Linked DNA regions of Drosophila melanogaster. The protein of the gene in region 4 interacts with the protein of the main gene of each other region in a pairwise test. Each region holds a gene or a part of one and is shown on either strand. Other genes may lie near its edges. The genes, in order: Had1, Cpr100A, Nrt and Cpr97Eb.

Evidence for each region.
Region 1: the proteins of Cpr97Eb (region 4) and Had1 interact in a two-hybrid assay, tested with the Drosophila melanogaster proteins (one large-scale study listed by BioGRID).
Region 2: the proteins of Cpr97Eb (region 4) and Cpr100A interact in a two-hybrid assay, tested with the Drosophila melanogaster proteins (one large-scale study listed by BioGRID).
Region 3: the proteins of Cpr97Eb (region 4) and Nrt interact in a two-hybrid assay, tested with the Drosophila melanogaster proteins (one large-scale study listed by BioGRID).

What each region holds. Positions count from the first base shown.
Region 1 is NC_004354.4:16,305,934-16,311,819, reverse strand, and holds Had1 (beta hydroxy acid dehydrogenase 1), read left to right. Parts: upstream 1-3,152; 5' UTR 3,153-3,544; coding exon 3,545-3,582; exon of another isoform or gene 3,583-3,651; coding exon 3,652-4,030; intron 4,031-4,121; exon of another isoform or gene 4,122-4,272; coding exon 4,273-4,803; 3' UTR 4,804-4,908; downstream 4,909-5,886. Other genes in the region: CG9915 (uncharacterized protein), read left to right, coding at 1-332, 389-542, 602-965, 1,034-1,441, 1,513-1,635; CG3679 (uncharacterized protein), read right to left, coding at 5,606-5,886.
Region 2 is NT_033777.3:30,865,110-30,870,458, forward strand, and holds Cpr100A (cuticular protein 100A), read left to right. Parts: upstream 1-2,411; 5' UTR 2,412-2,562; coding exon 2,563-2,574; intron 2,575-2,797; coding exon 2,798-3,045; intron 3,046-3,108; coding exon 3,109-3,574; 3' UTR 3,575-4,075; downstream 4,076-5,349.
Region 3 is NT_037436.4:16,763,410-16,769,872, forward strand, and holds the start of Nrt (neurotactin), read left to right. Parts: upstream 1-2,662; 5' UTR 2,663-3,131; intron 3,132-6,463. UniProt on the Drosophila melanogaster protein: May mediate or modulate cell adhesion between embryonic cells during development.
Region 4 is NT_033777.3:27,088,766-27,094,123, reverse strand, and holds Cpr97Eb (cuticular protein 97Eb), read left to right. Parts: upstream 1-2,993; 5' UTR 2,994-3,132; coding exon 3,133-3,144; intron 3,145-3,517; coding exon 3,518-4,213; 3' UTR 4,214-4,420; downstream 4,421-5,358. Other genes in the region: CG14258 (uncharacterized protein), read right to left, coding at 1-298, 355-488, 543-789, 861-945.

The DNA.
Region 1 (5,886 bases), on a different chromosome or scaffold from region 4:
ATCCAGTCGCTCGAGAAGTGGATCTAGTCGCTCGAGAAGTGGATCCAGGCGCTCTAGAAGTGGTTCTAGACGTTCTAGAAGCGGATCCAGGCGCTCTAGGAGCGGTTCCAAGCGCTCTAGAAGTGGATCCAGGCGCTCCAGGAGTGGATCCAGGCGCTCCAGGAGCGGATCTAGGCGCTCCAGGAGCGGATCGAGGCGTTCTAGAAGCGGATCCCGCTCCCGCAGCCGCTCCATTAGCGGTGGTTCGCGAAAGGGTTCCCGGTCTCGTTCCGGTAGTGCCGCATCCCAGACAGCTTCCAGGCGAAAAAGACGGGCCATCAGCGAATCTGATGGTAAATATTGGCTACAACTTTAAAAGCACCTTAATTTATGTATTATTTCAATGTAGACGACGGACCGAAGGTGACAAAGAAGCGTGTAAAAATCACGGACACAGACAATGAAGAGGATGAGCAGGACAAGGGCATAGGCAAAGAGAAATCACAAGACAAAATCACAGAGAGCTCTGACGATGAGAACACACCAATTTCAAATGAACCAGAGTAAGACTTCGTTTCCTTCAGGCGAATAGATTTTAACCCCACATTTACTGCCATTGCAGGAACAGTAACTTTATTTCCGACTTTGATGCTATGCTCATGAGAAAGAAGGAAGAGAAGCGAGTGCGTCGGCGCAAGCGCGATATTGATCTGATCAACGACAACGATGATCTGATCGATCAGCTTATAGTCAGTATGAAGAACGCTTCGGACGACGACCGTCAGCTGAACATGATAGGTCAGCCGGCCACAAAGAAGATTTCCATGCTGAAGCAAGTGATGTCACAGCTGATCAAGAAGCACTTGCAGCTGGCCTTCTTGGAGCACAATATACTCAATGTACTTACAGATTGGCTAGCGCCCCTGCCAAACAAAAGTCTGCCATGTCTTCAGATACGCGAGAGTATTCTTAAACTGTTATCAGATGTAAGTGGCATGCTTAGATTATTATATATTATATTATGGCTTCTAATGTGTGGATTCTCCATCTTTAGTTTCCTACCATTGAAAAGGGACTTTTGAAACAGTCGGGCATTGGCAAGGCTGTGATGTACTTGTACAAACACCCCCAGGAGACCAAGTCGAATCGCGATCGCGCTGGTCGCCTGATTTCCGAATGGGCTCGGCCGATATTCAACGTTAGCTGCAACTTCTCAGCGATGAGCAAGGAGGAGCGTCAGGAGCGCGATTTGGCGCAGATGTCACGTCATCGGCATAAGAGTCCGGATACAGAGCCTTCCTCCAGCAGCAAAGCACCTACCTTAAATCAGACCCTCTCCAACGAGGACAAGATGCTGCGTCCCGGAGATCCCGGTTGGGTGGCTCGCGCTCGTGTTCCCATGCCCTCCAACAAGGACTACGTCATCCGCCCAAAGTCAACCGTCGAGGGTGAAGTCTCCGCGGTAAGTAGTCCAGCATAAAGCCCTGGCTTTCGCCTCCACTTATTCATTGATTCCATTGAATCTCATTTCAGTCGACAAAACGCAAGCCAAACCGCTACGAGAAGCACATGAAACGTTTCCTGGACTCAAAGCGACTGAAGGAGAGCCGCAGGGCCGTTGAGATATCGATAGAGGGTCGAAAGATGGCACTATAAGCAGCATTCTAGCTAACTTTAAATTAAATAATAGAACGAAATTAAAAAAAAAAATGTATATTTTTGAATATAACTAAACGCGAGAAACGCTGGCCTTTTGAATTTTTCGGGTCCATTTGAGGCATTGAAAACGATAAGCTAGAATCCAAAGTCAAAAGGAAAGAGATGGGAGATCCATGCAGGCCGCCATCTTATCAGGAAGCTAAATTAGCTACTAAATTAGTTGTAAATATGCACATGTGTAATTGAATTAATACGAATTCACCGATTAGATATTACAGCTTTCAGTTGGGCTGCAAAGTAGACTTAATTTAATTATTAGCTGCACTTTGCATTATTACATTAAACAAATAAAATAGTTAAGCAACAAAATAGCAATACAAATTTCACTTTTAACACACTAATCAGATTCTCTTCGTCTTTCCATACTGGCTTAAACAAAAAACGAGCAATTAAACCATTAATTAAAGATGGAAACGTTAATCCTTCAAGAGGATTACTTTTGTATACTCTTTCAAAGGTTATTATATTTTTAGTCTGGTTGCTTTCATATTAAGTTAAAAACACGAAGAAACCTTATGATTTGTATATTCATTGCAAATGAGAAAAGCAAGATCATGTTTTCCATTCTAATCTTAAGACGTCGCGTTTAATTTATTATGTGGAAAAAACCAAAGATTGGAGAAACTAAAAGTTAAATTTGTACCATTCCAGGTATATCTCGCACAAGAAATGAAGTGATAAATATGTCAGTAGAGATTAAACAAACTAAACTAAACAAACCAAATAGATCTTTGCATTTACAACTCACAAACATTTTTTAAGAATATTCTATAGACTATGGTTGCAATTTTGAACAGGCAGAGCATTGAAAAAACGTATATTTAGAATAGTTTTACAACGAAACGCTCGAATCAGATTGATAATACTTGACGTAGTTATTGCCATTTGCTCTACAAACATACATATTTACAATATTTTATTGCCTTATATTTAAGACAGCGAAAGCTTAAAAAGCTTAGTAAACAATTCGCGGGGTTATTTTTGTGCCGGTAGCAAATACATATGTACATACATACATAAATGCACGGACAATCACAAAGATACCCGCCGTAGTAGCTAAACTAACATTATAAAATGGCATTATTAATAAAAGTCAAATTAAGGGCATCTTGGCACAGTTTTGTCGTGTGACACCCGCTAGGAAATTGGTAGCTCCTTGAGAACTTTTGATGGACTATCTCACACACACAACCAGCCCCCCTTCCACCCACGCGAGTGGAAAATACCGGTTGGAAAAGGTACAGGTACCCGTCCTGCGTACCTAGCCAAGGTAAAAGCTATCAAAATGAAGTGTACCAATGCTGGCTTTTATAAGTTTAATTAACTGAGTTGCTTGCAGGGTTTCTTTTAATTAATTATGATTATAAATCAATTTCTGGACAATCATTTACATTTTCCTTGGCTTGCTAGCTAGCATATAGTATTTAACAAAAAATACATAATTTCAACAACTTTAGGGCCTGCATTCAAAGCCTAAATGCACTAAATGCAAGGTACGCGGCAGCTCAATGATGTGTATACAGCGCTGTGGGCGTGGCAGCATCGTCCAATTGCCCAACGGGGCGGCATTGTTATCGCACGGCCCACTATCTCCTCCGAAATCTCCAGCGACACCCATCAAGCGCGTCCGCAAACACCCCACAAACACTTGGGCTCGGGTCTCGTTCTCGTTTTTGGGTTCACCTCTGGCGTGGTTATCGCCGAATATTAAACCGGTTGCGCTGCCGTCTAATTGCTCAAACGCATGTACGCTGTGCCAAGTGGCGGTCGACAGCAATAGCTCCTCCATAGCTCCTTCTTAAATCCAACTCCACCGAAGTAAATCGGCAAAAGTAAATAAACAAAGATGTCGGCAAAGAACGAGAAAGTTGGCATTGTGGGCAGGTGAGTTGGAGCAGGAAGCTGTTATTCGCTAGGATATCCAGGTGCTGACTGGCGGTGTTACCATTCCAGCGGTCTAATTGGTCGCTCCTGGTCCATGCTGTTCGCCTCGGTGGGCTACCAGGTGGTGCTGTACGACATCCTGCCCGAGCAGGTGTCCACCGCTCTGACTGCCACGCAGAAGGAGCTGCAGGATCTGGAGGCCAAGGGCCTGCTACGCGGCAAACTGACCGCCGCCCAGCAATTCGCCTGCATCTCCGGCACCAACGACCTCAAGGAGCTGGTCAAGGGCGCCATCTTCGTCCAGGAGTGCATCCCCGAGCGTCTCGATCTGAAAAAGGCGCTCTACAAGCAGTTGGACGCCGTCGTCGGACCCAACACCATCCTCTCCAGCTCCACCAGCACTTTTCTGCCCTCCCTCTTCAGCGCGGATCTGAAAAACAAGGCCAATGTGAGTTGAATTCTTGAGATTAGTGAGCCATAGTATATCTCCACCTTGAGCTGATTACTTGGTAAAAAGAATAGTTAATCGTAATACATACAAACAGCTTATTGTTTTAAGAAACATTCTTAGCTGCAATTGCTTTAATTTAAAGCTGCGCCGTCCTTGTGCCCAATTTGATTCGCATTTATTTGGATTTCGATGTGATCGCCGCAATGACTAAGCCCAATTACGCTTGATTTCGTGAACAGGTTTTGGTCTCGCATCCCGTCAACCCACCGTACTACGTGCCTCTGGTCGAGATCGTGCCTGCGCCGTGGACGAAACCGGAATGGGTGAAGAAGACCCGTGCCCTGATGGAGGAGATTGGCCAGAAACCAGTTACGCTGTCGCGGGAGATCGAGGGCTTCGCCCTCAACCGCATCCAGTATGCCATCCTGAACGAGACATGGCGTTTGGTCGAGGCCGGCATCCTGAATGTCAAGGACATCGATAGCGTGATGAGCAATGGACTGGGACCGCGCTACGCCTTCCTGGGTCCCCTGGAGACGGCCCATCTGAATGCCGAGGGCATGGCCAACTATTTCGAACGCTACTCGAACACCATCTATGCGGTTAGCGAGACAATGGGACCGACACCGAAAATGGAGGGCCCCGTCGCCGTCGAGGTGGCCAAGCAGCTGGGCGAGATGGTGCCGCTGGATCAGTTGGCCCAACGCCGCAACTACCGCGACAACTGCCTCACCCAGTTGAGCATTCTCAAGAACAAGCTCAACCAGTAAACTCATTATTATCTTGCTGCTGCGTTTTTTTTTTTTTGTTTTTTCTTCATTGTTGTGATATGCTAGCGCCACATACGTTAAATATACGGAAATTGCTTAACTGATAATCTCTTTTTATTGAATTATTCCTCGCTGGTCTTTCAAGACAGCTGCGAAAAGCGAAATTAATAGGGAGTGTGCTTTGCAAGCTACTAGTTCTAGGTATTACATCAATGGACAAATCCTTAAAACGTAGGATACTTGTGGTCAAACGGCTTCACCTGCCTCTTAAATGCTATTTTTATTCTCTTCTGATATGCTTGGCTTACTATTAAATCTCTTCTTTAATCAACTCCACTTCAGTGGAATTTCAAAAACATAGGGAAATGAGAAAGGGATTTCAAGCACTATGAGTTCGCAAGGTAACTTAGTGGGTTAGTGAGTAGTTAACAAAGATAAATTAACTAATTAGTTCGTTCAGTTCGAGTGGAAATTAAATATAAAGTACTGGCTCCACTGCTAATCCGTTTCGAAACGAAAACTAATTTGCTAACGTTTAGTATGGAGTGCAGACTGCATATCAGTTCGCTTTATCTTGTGACGTCGGCCAAAAAAAAAAAAAAGGAAAAACAAATGGAACAAACAAAAATATATGGGGGAGATAGCCAAGCCGTTTTCACATTGTCGGTTTATCTGCAAGGTTAAAAACTTGACCTCAGACATCACATTCGAATTCACTTTCAGGCGACATTGCGCCACCGCCCACGGGCCAAGGAAGTGCTCCCCCATTCCCCATTCCTACGCAATGCACGCTCTCTATCCTCTAGCCGGAACCGCTCTTCTTGCAGAAGCTCGGCCCCCTAATGCTGGGCGTCGAATAGGAGGTATTTGACAGGGATCCCGATCCTGCGGTCATGGCCATTGGCTTCAGGGATCTGCGCTGCTGGGTGCGCATTTGTGGCAGTGGTGTGCTCGTGCAGGATATGTTTTGGGCGGGTTTGGTCCTCGATGAGATGGGCGTTTCGGGTACACGCGGATGGAACGGATTCAGGTAGGTGGAATCGTTGCTTGCGGTCACTTTCATAATGGGAACCACCGGCTTGA
Region 2 (5,349 bases), 3.8 Mb from region 4:
GGTAGTTCCTAGTTTCCTGGTCTGCAGCTCTGACCCAGGCTCCTGGGCTCGGAATAGCAGCTGAAATAATTGAGAGACAACGCGGAATTACGACAGGACGGACGTGGATGAGGATGAGGAAAACGCTCTGCTTTGCATGATGCATCCCCTCCCTGAGGGCTCAACCCTCATTATCTGTTCGCCGATTGTGATTAACTCGGCCAAAGTGAAAGCCTGACAAATAAAACGCTGAATGGGCCCGTCAGCCATCTCTTTCTGACTGCTGGAGATGACGGCGGAATCACAACAGAAATAACAACAAAAATCAACCTCCTGGTGCCACTCCCTCCCTCGAAATTCTGGGTGGCAGTATCGTCGCATCAGGCAAACGCCTCAAAATCGAAATGGAAATCAAAAAGGCAGCAGCAGAGAGGCCAGCGAAGAAGGACGCTTCGGGAGTACAGTGGCCGCTCGAGCATGACGGATTTAGTTACTTAACTAGATGAAATATTTTGAATTAATTAATAATAAAGTTGGAAATATAGATAATGCTATAGGAATAAAGAGAAAAGGATCTTTAAATATTTTAGATATAACTGTAGTTCCATTTCTATAGATATTTTAAGTAGAGGAAATTCTAGAATTTCTAGTTTCCGAGTGATCACTGTAGCTAGACCGTTTCAACCCTCCGATGGGCACACCCTCAAGCTAATCCGGCCATGCTCAACTGCTCGGCCTCACCTTGGATCCGCTGCTCTTGCCATCGCCTCCTTGCCATGGCGTTCGCACATCAAGTATATATTCCGGAACTATATGCCATAGCTGCAGTTTCCTGTTGTTGTTTGTCAACTGATTTAATTTCCTCCTCCTTTTACCGCTTTCTGCTCTGATCACCGCCTCCTGCTGCGAGAGGGCGTTCTCCGCTTTTGGCCACACAAACAAGACCGCCGGATAATGACGATGGTAATGATGATGGCGATGTTCAGACGATGGCGACTTGCAAAAGGGCAAATAACGGTGTAAATGAGAGTGTTGCTACTCGAAATCTTCGACCCCATGCGGCTACTTTGTGTGCAAGAGTGTGCCGCTGTGTGGAAATCGCTCATTAAAATATGAAAACCCGATTTGCATACATAAATGCTCTAATTCTCTTTACGTTCAATTTTAGGGCTTAAGAAAAATTCTTTAAAATTAAAATGAATATCGATATAGATAATGTAATGTTAATTTGACTCTAGATATAAAACTTCAAATAACCAAAGTTGGAGATGCAGACCTGTTTGCATTGTTAGATCATAAATAATGCCAAAAGTTCTCTGCAAACATTACGCAAAGTGGGGGGCGTGGGAGTGGGCGTGTGGCATGTGGGTGGGCGGCCAACTGCTTTGGCCATAAACAAGCCCAAACAATGCCAGACATTTCAAACACAATAAATAATTGAAGCCAGCGCAGAGTCAACAAGTCAAACACATTGCGGTAACACTGGCGATTGTTGCCAAGCGCTTTTGGCCACACCACAAAGTCCAGCTTTTCAGTCCGATCTAGATATAAATCAACTTGGCCATGCACATGCAGAACGCAAATCCAGCTAAAAGGCAAACAAACGGCTTTACAACTTTACAACTTGAAGAGGGGAGTGAAAAGTTAACAACGCTCATTTGGCGAATTTCCCAAGATATGTTCGGATTTTCAGCAGAGGGCGACCGCCCAGTTATCCATCACAATCGACAGTTTCCACGGGCTTTTCACACTGGAAAAATCAAAAAGACAATAAAGACGAGGCTTTTGCCAATTTCTTCCACAGGGTGTTGTAGTTACTTTCTATTTCTGTTTTTTAGCTTAGGCCAACATTATTGGCATACAATACTATTATTCAATCTATTTTATATCCCGTTTTATTTGTATTTTCCATACATTTTCCTTTTTTCCTACTCTTAAACTAAACTATTGCCATTAAAATTGCATCATGCTCTGCAGAACTAATTGGTAATTCCTGGTTTCGATAGATCCCCTCCCAGATGAGGATACCTCTGCGCTGAGGCTGGATTACAGCTGAAAAACTTTTGAAATAATTAAAAAATATTTTCGTCTTGGGCTTGGGCCTGGTGCAGGCAGAAACGGTGGAACTAAGTGCATATAGCATATATTCGTATATATAGAAAGCAAAAGTTGGCGCTCCAAGCGAAAGAGATCGAAACTGGTAAAACGACTTGGCAACACGACCGCGATACCAATACTCGCCCAAAGTTGACTTATTGGAGCACTTAGCTCGATTCTTGTTATTGTTACGCCGACTTGGCCGACTTGTTGTTGCCGTTAACGTTAATAGTACCAACACAATTACATAGCTTGGAGTGCCTAGGCGGAGTCGATCGGCGATCCAGCGATCCAAGGTTCCCGCTCGGACTATAAAAAGCTTGGGCGGCACCGTTGCGGAAGGCAGTTAACTCCACAAATCCGTTGCCGTCGGTCCCATTTCCCTCTTAACCGACTTGTAAGCGTAAAGGCGCGTGTGAATCCCCCTCGAGAAGAAGATAAAATTGTGTGCAGTTTACGCTTGACAAGGATATTCCCCACACCAAAATGTTCAGATTTGTGAGTTGTGTTTTATTCAAGGCTGTTCGAACAATTTAAAAGCTATTAAGAGAAAAGTAATCAAACTGACGGACAAAAGTGTCAATTCAAACCAGGATATTCTAGAGTACACATTAAATAGTGAAAGTCTTACCTTATAATACGTTAAGTGATAATGACTCAGATTAAGGAATTGGCAGCACACAAATACTTGATTGTACAATAAATTTTGAATTCTTGACAGCTTGCACTGACCACCTTGGTGGCCCTGGCTTCCAGCCAGCACTATCACCAGGATCCCAAAACGGCGGCCATCATCAGTGAGCAGCGTTATCTGTCCGGAGATGGAAAGTTCGGAGCTGCCTATGAGCAGGAGGATGGCATCAACTTCAAGGAGGAGACGGATGCGGATGGAACACGTCATGGCAGCTACAGCTATCTGGATCCCACGGGCCAGAGGCGTACTATTTCGTACACAGCTGGCAAAAATGGGTAAGCACTTTCTATAGAACAAATACCCGAACTTGTATTAATTTGGTTTTTATTCCGAAATAGTTTCCAAGCTTCTGGAGATCACTTGCCCCAGGCACCACCTGCTCCACCACAGCCCGTGCCCACAGCGGGATATCAGCCACAGCAGCAGTACCAGCCGCAGCAGTACCAGGCTCCCGCTCCCCAGCCGCAGGCCAGTTTCCGCAGCAATGACTACGGAGATGATGGTTCCTACGATCCCCGCTACAACGATCCCTCTTTCGGACAGAACCAGCAGAGCTACCAGCAGCCCGCTGCCCAGCCGCAGTACCGTCCTGCTCCCCAGCCCGCCTACAACCCACAGCCCGTGCAGCCGCAGCAGCAGTACCAGCCTCAGTATCAGCAGCCCCAACCCCAGTATCAGCAGCCGCAACCCCAGCAGGCGTACTACACCACCACCACCCCCAACCCACACCGCTTTTCGCCACCCGGCAAACTGTCCCTGAACCGCACGCCCGATGGCTTCACCTACTCCTTCAACAAGGTATAAGCCCCACTGTCCTCCACTCAGACATTATGCATCTTCTTCATTAGTAGGGATCCTCTTTCTTCTTTTCCAACTTTCCCTATCACAACTAGAACCCCTACTCTTTTCTTGACTCCATCAAACTCTCGTGTGATATGTTTAAGAGCAATTGTATCGTACTTCCTATATGCGTACTGTTTGTTATTAATTTATAATCCTACACAGAGAAAATTAATCGCTGCTGCCCAATGGGTATTGCTGATTTAAATTACAAAATATATTCAAAATATCATTTGCATATTTTTGAAATATGAAAAAACTCAAGAAATGTCGGCCTTTTTCTCTGTGACTTTCCCATTAAACTTTAATCTTTCCATTTAAGTCTTCCCAAGAAAAGAGAAGTCAATAAACTTCGATGATGTTGAAAAATGATCAAAATTAATTTAGAAACTATGTTAATTTGGGCCTTGGGACGTCTGAGCAATTTGTACTATAATCGAGTAAAAACAATATATGAAGGAAACCAAGTTCGTGTCCTGCAGTCTTTTGTTTTTCGGCCAGTGGCCGCTTATTTAATTTCCAGCAGATTTATCTAAACACCTCGGGTGGTGAACGCCCACTAAATGCGGCATTACACAACCGACTTTCGTACGTGCAAAACAAGTTTCGAGTTTCTGTTACGATTCTATGCGGCCAACAAGGAAAGACCTCAAACGGGTTTCGCTCATTTGACAGTAATCTTGGCCAATTGTGCAAAATTCCGATGAAAATGAAATCAGCCTGGTGTGCTGGTGCTGGCTAAGCCGGAAAACCATGTGCAAGTGGGGGTGGCACTGGTTCATTAGGGGATTGGGGCTCTAAATCAATTCCCAATGGTATTGCGATCCGTCAGGCTCCAGTTGCGTTAGTGCAACTTAATAACATCCAAATGTTTTGCATATTTTATGCACCATCGAACGCAAGAATGCCGCCAGCTAATTTGCTATTTCCTCTCACCTGCTGAGTTCTCAGCATATGTGTGTTATAGTTTACAACTTAATTCGAGCACCGATTGCTATTCTATTATTTAATTGCACTTATACCTATATATTTACTTCGGAAATAATAAATTAATTCAGGGCATGCTGAAATAATTGATTTCATTCAATATCTCTCAAAATCTATTCTAATTTGACTATATTTTATTCATGATTCCATTTTTACTTATTTTTTAAATATTTTTAGTGCTAGCATTTTATTGTTGTCTTTATTTTTAGCATTTTTCCCTCTGTACTTTCCACATCCATTGGTTGGCATTCCTTTTCACCACCGACAACGATTACATTAACAATATTAGCAACACTTTTCAGAGCTTAGCTTTCAAGGTCAGATTTGTTGTGGACTCGAGGGTCCGGCTTGGAGTTTGGATTTTTGCTTTGCCTGGCTTTGGGGTCTGGCTTCTGTTGAAACTGTTTAGTCAATTAAGAAAATCAATTCGGTTTTGTTTTTTGCTACTTATTGCTTTTTATGATTTCTTCTCCGCGTGCCTTTGTGCACCCACTTTTGCGGCAATCGCAATCGATTGAATTGGCTTGCTCAATTGCGGATTTTCGTTCGGATTTGCGAAAGAGGTAAGAGTCGAGAATTTGCCTGGGATCGAAACAGGTGTCTCATGGGTGTGTTGCTTCCAAAGTGTTCTTAATACGTCTATTTTTATGAACAACACACGTTTATGATTGACTGCGTTTATTTTTAAAAAGGTAAACGTCGCCAGAATTTGTCGTGAAATGTGGAACTCACTCCAATTATGGCGATGTGGG
Region 3 (6,463 bases), on a different chromosome or scaffold from region 4:
AGTTAATTTGATCAGCCCACGTCCGCAGAGTTTGGCGTACATAGTTGCCAAGGGGGTTCCCCCGAACCAAAGAAATCCCCACCCACTCAACTCGACTCTTTGCCAGACGCACCGAGTTGCCTTTGAGGTGTTTAACCTCAGTTGCGAGGAACACTTAAAAGCGTTTCATGTTTTATCTGGGCAGGCGAGTCGAGTTCGGGGGACTGATTCCATTAAGGGGCGCCACAACACCACCTTAACACTTGCTGCGCCTGTTGTTCGCCACATGTCCCGCATCCCAGTGCCCAGAGCCCAGAGCCCAGAGTTCCATCCTCATCCCTGGAGCACCGGCCTCGCCCCTCGTTTTGGGTAAATAAAAGAGTAACTTTTGTGGTTGCCCTCAGACCAAGTGGGTGGTTCAGTGGTTGAGTAGTGGGTAATACACGAAAGTTTCGGTTTTTTATGTCCGAACATAATTTGCAACGGAGCTTAAACAAGACGCGCATTTTATGTTTAACTTCCTTGTTCGCTATTTGTAGTCGACTTTGCGGCGTTTATGGGATGGAAAGTGGGCGGGGCACAAGTTCCGCACCCCCAAAAACAAAAAGCCATATAATTGAGCTCAAACATTAAGCGGCTTTTCGAGGTTTTGCTTGGCATATTGAAACCGAATCATTGCTTGATTGAATTACATATCGTGGGGTTAGTGGTGCAGAGAACAGAACTCCCTCGAATTTCTTGAAGTCTTCGTTTTCGGTTTCCACACGTTTCCGGTTCAAATTTAAATTAAACTTGTTAATTATTCCATCCGAAGAACAACCCACACAAGACAGGAACATGTGTTCACTACTCCACTTCCTTTCCTTGGGCGTCCCACATTTTGCGGGTTTCCTCGTTACCATTTGCGATCATGATAATGATCCGATGCGATCATTTTGATCCTTCCCCTTCGACGTGACGGGCATGCGTCAAACTCAAATACGTATGTAACTCGAGCCAACCTTCACTTTTATTTTCTAGTTTCCTACCATATTTATTCCTTTTTTTCGGTAGCAGATGTCGCCTAACATCATGTCTAATGAAATGCTTCAGTAGCTCCACAATGAAATAGGGAACCCTCATAGTTCGGGGCGTGAAAGTTGTTGACATGTGGGTAGGAATTCCGTGGGGTAATACCTTTGGAAGAACAGGGGAATCGACTTCTAATACATTTCTAGCACGTGTCGTCATGGCTTCTGTTCTAATAATTCAACCGACACAAGTTCAATATAAATATTAAACTATGTACATACATAGGTATACAATGAAAATATTGAAATATTGAAAAATATTTACCAAACACTTTAGTTAAATGGGTAGCCTAATTGTCTGAAGACATATCTCCTACATTAGTTGATTACTCATAAATCATAAGCGTAACATTTTTATAAAATAGAGCACATACTATATAGTAATTGAAAGTATAATACTGGGGGAGTGCCCTTTATTAAATAAACTGCAACAACGTATGTTTTTCTCATAACTGTGGATGAATCATTCTGTTGATTTGCGTATCGCTCAAAATAAATGCATTAAAATCTTCTTTATAGTTTTCATTGCGCAAAAGTTGATTGAAAGAATCATTATATTTTGTCTTTCTTACCAAATAAGTGAATTTTCTCAGGGGTAGGGATATGAAACCCTATGCGAAAAGGGGTGTTGGGTTGGAGGTAGCCAAGGGTAAGGGTTTGTGCTGTAATGACGCATCAGGACGTGGAATTTCCCTACATATGCCAGATGTTCCCATCGGCATAAACTGCGCTTCAACACTTGCCGCCAGTTGATAAGCATTTGAAAACGAGTTTCAAAAACCGAAATCAAAACCTTTACTCAAACAAAAGTGCCATATCAACAAACTTCTTTCCCTTCCCCTTGCCAGCTTCCCTCTCTTTTTAAGAAAAATTAATAACAAAGAAATATAGGGAGATCGGCATCTACTTCTATTTGAAGCATGTACAACTCAGAAATTTTTAATAACTTTAAGTTTTATATTTATAAAGAGCTGTAGACTACGTAATACCTCTACTTTGGGTTTTGGGTGTTGACTTGAACAATTTATAACAATTTTACCCTATGTTCTCCTACATGTTCTATAAAGTATCTGATCTGATCATAATATCTGAGGTGTCTTGTTTCACTAACAATAAACGCTTTACCAAAACTACAATACCTTTTTCATAAAATCACCATCGAACATTTTGCACTTACTGTACAGGAAAACAAAGCCGCTACTTTTACTGCTGCTTTCCAGCCACCCCTATGATTTATAAATTTACAATGCCGGCTGCTTCCAGTTCCAGTGCACAGTGGTCCAGTTCGAACTAAATCATAAACATGAATTATGATCATGTCTAATAAGTTTAATTAAATTACTTATAAAATATTACAACAATTCGTTGTGTAGGTGTTTTCAATGCTAATCACTGTTGCTTGACATAATTTGTATACTATTATAAACTTACAAGTTATATCTTAAATTATGTTTTTTCTTTTTTTCAAGAGAGAAACATGTTCTCGCCGAAAACACGTTCCACTTCCAGTTCCCCGAATAAAAACAAATCCAAGAAAATTAACATTAACAGTTGCTGTTAAGACTCTGTTAACCGTTTCGAAGCCGCATGAATTGCATGACATCGAAACGGCGTCAGTCAGTTTTGTTCTGTTTTGGAAGCCGCACGCGTTTTCCCTCGCTCCGGTTGTGCTCGCTTTCGCATCGCACACACACACACACTCTCGCCGCACAGACGCGACCAAAAGAAAACAAAATCAAATTCGGCGCAAACAAGGAATAACTTTTTATATTCCTATTGTGCATCGTATGTTGTATTAAGTGCAAGAAATATATTTACACAAATCTAACAAAAACACCGCAACTACTTTTGTGCATTTTGTTTTGCTCTGTGCCGAAGGAGCGGAGAAAAGAAAAAACCGCAACAAATCAAAAAATCTGTGCGTTTGTTATACACACCTAAGTGTCCTGCAGGAAGGACATCGGGTTCATTTACGCCACCCGCTGTTTTCAAGGACCAACGGATTATTCCCAATTGCCACATTTCAACAAGTTCGAAAAAAGCAACACACATTTTACACAGTGTTTGCGAGAATTGAAAAAGGTAAGATTACAAATTCGTGTGAAGGACCTCGGGGATTTGTAGAAGAGGAAGAGCAGTTGAAAACAAATCGATGAATTGTAAATGAAGTCAAATTTGTCTGCCAACTTTAATAATTTAACAAGTGAATATGGACACTTCAAACTTGAAAGATTAAAATGTGATTATAATTGAATAAAACAATTTACATGCATATTTATTTAGTTTTATACAAATGTAAAGATTTTGGCCAAAAAGTTTATTGAAAAACGCTAATGCCGTAGCAATTGAAATCTGAGTTATTTGTGAAAAGTAGAAGATAAAAGATATAAGAGCTTAATTTGAAAACTTTTAAAATATGTCGGTATCCGATCTTGACGGCTCTAAATTAATTTATAATCCTCCACAATCCATAATTACCGAGGAAACATCTTACCAAAACAATTTAAATGGCGTCTCGAAAAACATTTCATTCCGAGCTCTTAATAAGATTAATGGGGCTTCACGATTCATTGATATAATCCCTCCGTAACGAAGCACACCCACCCCATCGTCATCATCATCTTACGCGTCTTGAGGTCTAATGGCTCGTGTCAATGATCAGACGGACTCTTTCCCTCAATAATTCCCATTTTCCATCCTTTCTAATGGCTTGTGTCGCGGCTCCGTATGAAAAACATAACCATTTGACATAAATCACGGCCCTGACAAATCCTTTTGAACATTTCATAAACATAATGTGTGTTAATCCTCAGATATTTCAATCCATCAACATCCAGAGTTTGGTGGATGGAGTTGCCCCAAAAATAGCGCGACCCCTTTGGTATCATTTGTATGCACAGTCAGACGCCGGCTTGAATAAATCCCCAAATAGTCATTCCGTAAACAAATGCAAAGGAAATTGTTGAAGGGATACGGATACCGGGAAAAAGGGCAATAATTCAATGATGAATTAATAGGCGCATGGAAATGATCACGAATTCCCGGGATCTTCAGAGAAAGTTCGAGTTGGCAGCTGCTGCTCTTCGATTCGCTCCAGAAAAAGAAAAAAAGACTTCCGGGGAATCGAGCAACTAAAAAGTGAGAAAAGCATCAACAAAGCCAAACAGAGGCACAACAAATGGGGTAGGAAAACGTGAAGATGCCACGCTGACGCAACATTTGCATTCGGAAAGAGATTTATGGAGGCAACTCCCCCGCCCATTGACTTTTCGCTCCAACTTCCCTCATTGTTTTGCCAAGTTTTCAAAAGACAAGAGCCGACATGATGATGTTGATGTGTGTGCCTCAGTATCTCATTTTCCCAATTTACCCCAAAATGTGTGTAATCAAAAGTTTTCGTCTTTACAATTCAATTTTAAATTGTTGTTCCTATGTAAGTGTTGCCTGCTTTCCACTCGAAAAGTAAACAACAATTAAGGAAAAACACAACAAGGCAAATGCAACAAGAATACAAAGCACGATTTTCAACACTTTTTCTCGCTCTCAATGATAAACAAAACTCGGCTATTTACATCTGGAGTTCATGGTCAAACAGTTTAAACAAAAATGGAGTTTTCATTTAGGAAATTGTAAATCCATCAGCAATAAGAACTTGAGAGTCAAGTGCTGCGATACGATCCCAAAACTCGAATCCCCTCAAGAGCTGCTGACAATTGACTAATGAGGGTTACAAGAAACCCCAGCGCAAATCATAAATATTTGTTGTTGACAATTCCAATGGCCCTGCAAGGAGCCTGGCTTCAAGGAATTCTCAGGGTTCTTATCGCGGAGGAAATCTTCGCTTATCTGCCTGAAAAAGGCAACGTGGTGCTAGAAAATATTGTGCAATAAAATGGAATGATATAGTGGAAGGACAGCCATGAGTTGTGAGGAAGGCAGTGTATGCAGACTTAACAGATACCCAGTACTTCCATTTAAGAAACAACTAATTGCATACATAATATTGGTTAAATGCACCAGGAACTTCGTGGTTCAATGCACTCAGTTAATGTTATAACATTCTCCAACAAATATTCTTGAATATAAGATATAAGATGTGTCTACCTCATCAAATCCAAGAGTACGCGGTATGCACAAACATTGAACCAACCAACGCAACTCAGGGCTATCCTATCCCATATCTTCAAGAGTTGTTTGCCCCTCGAGAGTAATTACAAATTCATAAAAATGGCCTGTTTGAAGTGGAAATCTCGTTCCGATTTTGTTTGCTCTTCCCACTCCAAACTCCATTTATTCCATTTTTGTTGTGCCAATCCCCTTGTCCTGGAACTAGGCGCCTTCCGCTGATCCTTTGAGGTTTGTGGGACTCTGTGCCCCTTTACCAGTTTCCGCTCTCTACCTGCCCCAGGAGATTGTTATCCATCAAAATAAAATGAGGGGAGACGACTGTGAATTCGCATCGCACGTGTATAAACCTTTGAGTCTTGCGGTTTCTGGTTTCTGCCCCTTTTGTACTGGAAATAAATTCAGTCTTATATTTCTTATGAATTATTATAGTATGTCCTCAAGTAGTTCTTAACAAACAAGTTTGTATATTTTTAAAGGTTTTCAACATTTGTTGCAACTTGCGATCTATCTTACCTATGTTTCTTCTTTATTTTTTCTAAGTGTTTCTCATGCTCCAGTGAACTTCACTCCCCCTTCATCTTTCCGACCCCTTCCGCATTGTTCTTTGAACACGTGTCAGCTTTGATCATTAATCACCCTTCTTTTGATTGCCTGGCGAATATGTGGCTCATCATTTTCCATTCTCCCACTTGGCCAACTTCAATAAATTGCCATGAAATTAAGCAACTTGAACAAAAATCCACAACACGGCATGATAAATCGTTAGATCAGAATATTTAAAGTTAATTTTAAAATGACCAGAGGCCATGTTATAAAGCAGGAGAAGGAGGAGGAGGAGACCCAATCCCCACCAGAAGTCCATTAGCATGGCGTCCGGATGACAAATTGACTTCGTTAGAAGTTTGCGATTTCCCTCGATGTCTGCCTCTTTTCCGACGTGGAAATTGGAGGCGCAAATTGAAAGATTATTATGCCTGAGGTTATTGAATCTAAATCGCTGATTGCGGGTGCTCCGAGTTGGGAAACGATGCACTGAAAAACGTAGGAGATTCAGGGGCTTAAAGTCCTTATAGTTACAAATGTCAAGTATCATGTTATTGCAAATGTATATTAAATAATGTTACGTTTTTTCGTGTGTATCCTTCCTAAAATTGCATTGCTGTTGAGTCTGTTTGTTGTTTTGACTGTCTAGACAAATTTCCTCGCACATATAATTATAAACAGGCTTAAGCGTTTCTTATCAGTAGATCTGAATGTCCGTGCTGTGGAGTGTTCTGAAATTGTTG
Region 4 (5,358 bases):
TTAATCAAATAGGTAGCTGGTACATAGACAAAGGTCTTCTTGAACCGATCCAAAAGCACTCCGCCAACTGTTTGCTCCACCGCCGGACGCAGTACCTCAAAGAAGTCGCGCCAGTTTTCGTTGAACAAAATGTGTGCAGTATCCTCCAGATCCTTGTTGCCGCCAAAGAGATTTTCCAGCTTGATGCGGAATTGCTTGATCTCGCGGAAATTTACCTTTACACTTTGCACATCAGCGAAATAACCATCTGAGGTGGCCAGCGGTTTGACAGCCAATTCCAACAATAACAGAGCATTTTCTGAATAAAACCGGCTTTAAGATAGTAATTCGCATAAATTGTAGATTGCATCTTACCAGCTTCGAAGTATCCCTTGCCATGACCATTGAGATTCAGCGCTGAGACGTGTCCTTTGACTTTGTAATCGAAATTGAAACGCAACTTGGGCACGGAAATCAAAGTCCTGGCTACATAGTGATTTGGATCCCAGCTGAGAATTTTTAATGGTCAAACTTGATTTCGTCAGAATCTTTAAATAGGTTACCTGGATTCCAAGACTAATGCTTGACCAGCACCTGCTACATAGACTTCCTTCAGATCGGCATTGATAGCTATAGACCTGCTGGCATCCTGGGTAAATTTCACTCTCTTGATGTAAAAAGGATCAAAGGATCCCACGGCATTGTAGCCGGGAATTCCGTCCTTCCACTGACGGAAGAAACTCTGGAAGTTTTTGGTCAGACAGACATTAAAGTTGGGATCGCCCACGATACATGGGATTAGGAAGTCGGCTGAAAGTTGTACATTTAAGAATATTATTAACTTAACTCAACCAAAATATGTTGTATTAAATGTTTATTACGTTTCTCTGCCAGATATTTAGCTCCTTCGACTGCTGAAAGGAGTACGGCTACAATACTCAGGAACTTGGCAACTTTAATAAGCATCTTGATAATTTTATTCCAAAATGTGATGACTAGAACCGTTTTCTTTGAATGCTCTGATTGAAATGACGATTCTGTCTGGCCGCCGGTAATTTTATTCGAAATGGACCGCTCGAATGTATAACTTTTAAAATCATTTCTTTGTTTTGCCGATTTATATATATTTATTTTATTTATTTCGGTACAATTAGTAAGTAAACGAGTTTGGCCGCATTAGACTTGTTGTGGTCGTACAGGGTGCCCAAATCTTTCGATTCATCTGATGCGATACCCTAGCTCGAAAATGCATTAATTTTTATAATATTACTTAGCCTTTGCCTCGCCGGCGACTCCATTTCCAGTTGTAAAGTACTGTCATAATACATATATCTAGATACTTAGACATATATTCTATTCTATATATTCTATCTCACTTTCGCTGGAGCCGAACTGGTTCTACAAGATCATTAAGATGCGACGACTGTAATGCTGACGGATTTATTTAGTTTAGTAGATCTCTCTTAAGAATATATATTCCAATTAATTATAGGCGACAATTCTAGCAAACTATCTTTGCATATATGCATACTCAAGTGAGGAAAAGAAGCCAAGCGAATGTATTTATCTGCATGCAACCATGACCAAGGTCTGCGGTTCTTGGGTTAACGAACTTGTGGTTTTGACATAAGTACCTACACAGAAAACAACTAATTATGAATTATGTATCATGGGAATTTTCTTATTTTAAATACGCATACATTTTTATTCTTTGCCACAGTGAGACCTGAAAATCTGTGGTTCTGCATTATTATTTGATGAATATGCTATATGACTTGTTATTTGGTGTATTTTGCACAGTGTAGAATGTGATTTCAGATAGATGAATGCAAATCCCCCGAAATAAATGGAATAAATTCAGTATTATAATGTAGGTTGACAACTGTGTTTGTTTTGAATGTGGCTTGGGGATTTTGGCAATTTATTTTATATAAATTGGATCCTACTTAACTGGTTGTTTGTGAAATAAAAAGAAAACATCATATAAACTAATTTAAATTCTAGAAATCTCCAGAGATCTAGTCAAACCATCACATTTTTTTCTGCCTATCTATGACGTAATTTCAGCAACCTGTTTCTTTAGCCAAAGCATTGACTAGGTCAGTATGCCAGCATATAAGTTTTTGTATTGCTTTCTTTTCCTAGCTTCAAGTGTGAGTTTTGACAGGCTAAGAGAAATGGCTAAATAAGCTGTCAAATTGCATGTTGTGGATGCAGATTGCCATTGGCCAGTGCACTTAACTGGGAGCAAGGTGTTTGGACAGGTATTTGCAATCGATTAGCAGGTGGGGGGGAATTGACTTGCATAATTGGAATGCTTAGCAAGTGCAACACTTCCGCACCTCGCAGTACTGGCATTTTATTCTTTTCTGGATTGTAGATTTCAGTGATGCCAAAGGTACTTTTTAATTGTGTCTATGAAATAAACTTTAAAGATAACTAACACCTGATAAATCGATGTGAATTGTAAAAGTTTTTAGATGGCACTTGAAAACTATTTTACATCGCACTTTGTACCTCAAACTAGAGTGTGCCAATATGAGTAGGATATGGAGTGTAAGTGTACCAAGTGTACCTAGTTCTCATCACTGTTGCTGCTCTGATCTCATTGCGTATGCGTGAGTGTTGCGGTCTGGAAGCATAAATTGCTGGCCAAGAATTCGAGTAGACGACATTAACAACCTGATTGGAAATTGCTGCGCGTCGGCTTGCTGCTGGTAAGTGAATTACCTGTAGAGGTGAGTGAGTGGGCATATCGATCGGACGTAAGTACAGCTGGCCGACGACCGCTTTCGATTTCTATGCTGCATTCCAAGCCAAGTCGAATCGGTTCTCGGATCGGATCGGGAGCTCGGGCCTCGGTTAACGTATTCGTTTTCGTTTTCTGATCGCAGCTGATCGCCAGATCCAGAGACTTCGGCTTGAAGCTTTAGTTTCTGCCATGGTTTTTTCCCCTCTTGGCCCGCTTTTGCGAAATGTTGACTGCGGTATAAAAAGCGTTGCACGCCCTGATTTTCTTTTGAGTTTGTCGTTTCGATTCGCAGAGTCTCGAGTGCAAGTGCAGAACACATTTTCCATTTTCGCAGTGCATAACTACTTTGGGAGATTGGTGAAAACGGTTCGACATTGACAATTGGTTCTAAGCTTGGCAGCATGTTGAAATTGGTAAGATTCAGCAAGGTGGTTTATAGTGTTACATCTCCAAAGCTCGATATTCATATCGGTATGCAAAAGGTGTTTTCAGAATATGCGCAGTGAATTTTTAGAATGCAATTTAGCCAACCGGTTTGATCAGATCGGTGTCTATGATAAAGAGTAACTTAATTGGTGGTTCATTACTCAGCCATGTCCTTGAGTGAATGTTTGTGAACTGATAATCAGAGCAGCTAATTAAGGTATTTAGCCAAAAGTAAGGCAATAAAGGCAAAGTTCATGTATAATTGCTGACTTTACAGATGGGTGTGACCGAAATGGTGATTTAATGATACAAACGATTTGAGTCACTTTTTCACTCAACTCTTTGTTTTTCAATTTGCAGACCTTGAGCTTGGGTCTTCTGCTTCTGGCGGCCCACAGTGCGTATGCGCAACACCAGGACTACACCACACCGGTGCCCATTCTCAAGCAGATCGACAAGCACAACGACGATGGTTCCTACACATATGGATACGAAGCGGCCGATAAGAGCTTCAAGATCGAAACCAAGTACGCGAATGGAGAGGTCTATGGAAAGTACGGTTATGTGGATGACCAGGGAAAAGTGCGGGAAATAGAGTATGGAGCCAGTAAGCGTGGCTTTGAGCCCGCTGGCAGTCACATCAATGTGCCACCACCTACGCTGACCAACAGCAATCCCTATCCATTGGGACCCAACGAATTGGACGATGGCCAGTATCGTGAGGACCCCTCGGTGTACTACAAGGACCAGAAGTTCAATCGCCCCCTTTCACCGGCCAGTAAATTCAGTCTGAACGATTTCGGCCGCGGCCAGCAGCAGGCGTATGCCCCGCCACCTCGGCAGCCCGCCCCACAAACGCCCTACTACAATCCCACACCCCAATACTACAATCCCCCGGCTCCGCAGCCCCGTTACTACCAGCCTCCGGCCCAGAACTACTATAATCCCCAGCAGCAACAGCCATACAGGGGGTTGCCGGAGCAACATCATCCCTCCCTGCGAAATCTCAACCTCTACACCGGTTCCTATAGCATCGACTATACGGGCCGGAAGTAGGAAGGAGGACCTTTTGATGGGGGGATCACCTCTGAGTTGGGCCAGAGAGTCAGGGACTGAAGTGTCCGAGGACAATGTCAACTTGTTACTGCCAAATAAATCAGTCACTCCGCACACCCCACACATGTATCTATTACTGTACCTGTTTATATATGTTCTTGAATGTGTGTAATAAATCGAGTTTTGAAACCTGAAGCGTTTACAGAGAAAACGAAAGTGTTCTGAAATCATTAAATGTTTTGGTAATTGCTATGAAAATCAAAGGCAATTAGGGTGTTAAAGACAACTAGTAAACATTCAATCAATTTACGCTACCCTTTTCGCTGTCATTTACTGCTAAGTAATTATTCTCAGTGCTCAGAAGTATTTGAAATATCTGCTTTGGCATTCAATTTAGCCAACTACCAGGTTCCGCTTCAATTAAGCCGCCCCACAGCAGAAATTGTAGCAAAATCCAGCCGATTGAAATAAAGGCAAAGAGCCCAGCAAGTGGCCAATAATCGTTAGGCCATTACGTCAACACAGAATGATCGAGCCAAAACAACAAAAAACTACAAAAAAAAGGCAAGCATTGTGGCCGATTCAGATTGAAAACCAAAGTGGATTTGCTGTTGACTGGAATTTGGTGCACTTATGCAATGTGCTGGCCCCAAACCACTTTCAAATGCACTGCCACCAACGGCCGACCAGTTGGCCATAAGCTGTTGGCCATAAGTATGGTCTATGGTCTATGGTCTATGTACTTGGTGCTGGGTGGTGGCTCAACTGCCTTTGTCTTTTGGGTGTGGGGACTGCAGGTACTGGAAGAAGTGGCTTGAAGCTTGTTGGATAATTGGAAGTCACCCACGGATCAATGGCCAAACAATGAGCTTAAATCAGTGTGGTACTTAACTTTTCGTTAGCTTAAATAAGCTATTAATTAGGTAATTTAATTGAATTTGACTCAAATTTTCTGAAGGTTTTTCATTTTATTAAAACGGATGATTAGCAATTTATATATATGGTTACAGCAAACCCACAAAGTAGCTAATAAAGTAGCTGTTAAATAACTAAGAGCTATTCCCCGTTTAACTTTAAAGCCACTATTTATAGTTTGTCATATACATTCGGTTGTGTGAGCTATTCAAGTTCCTTTCCACTGTGCC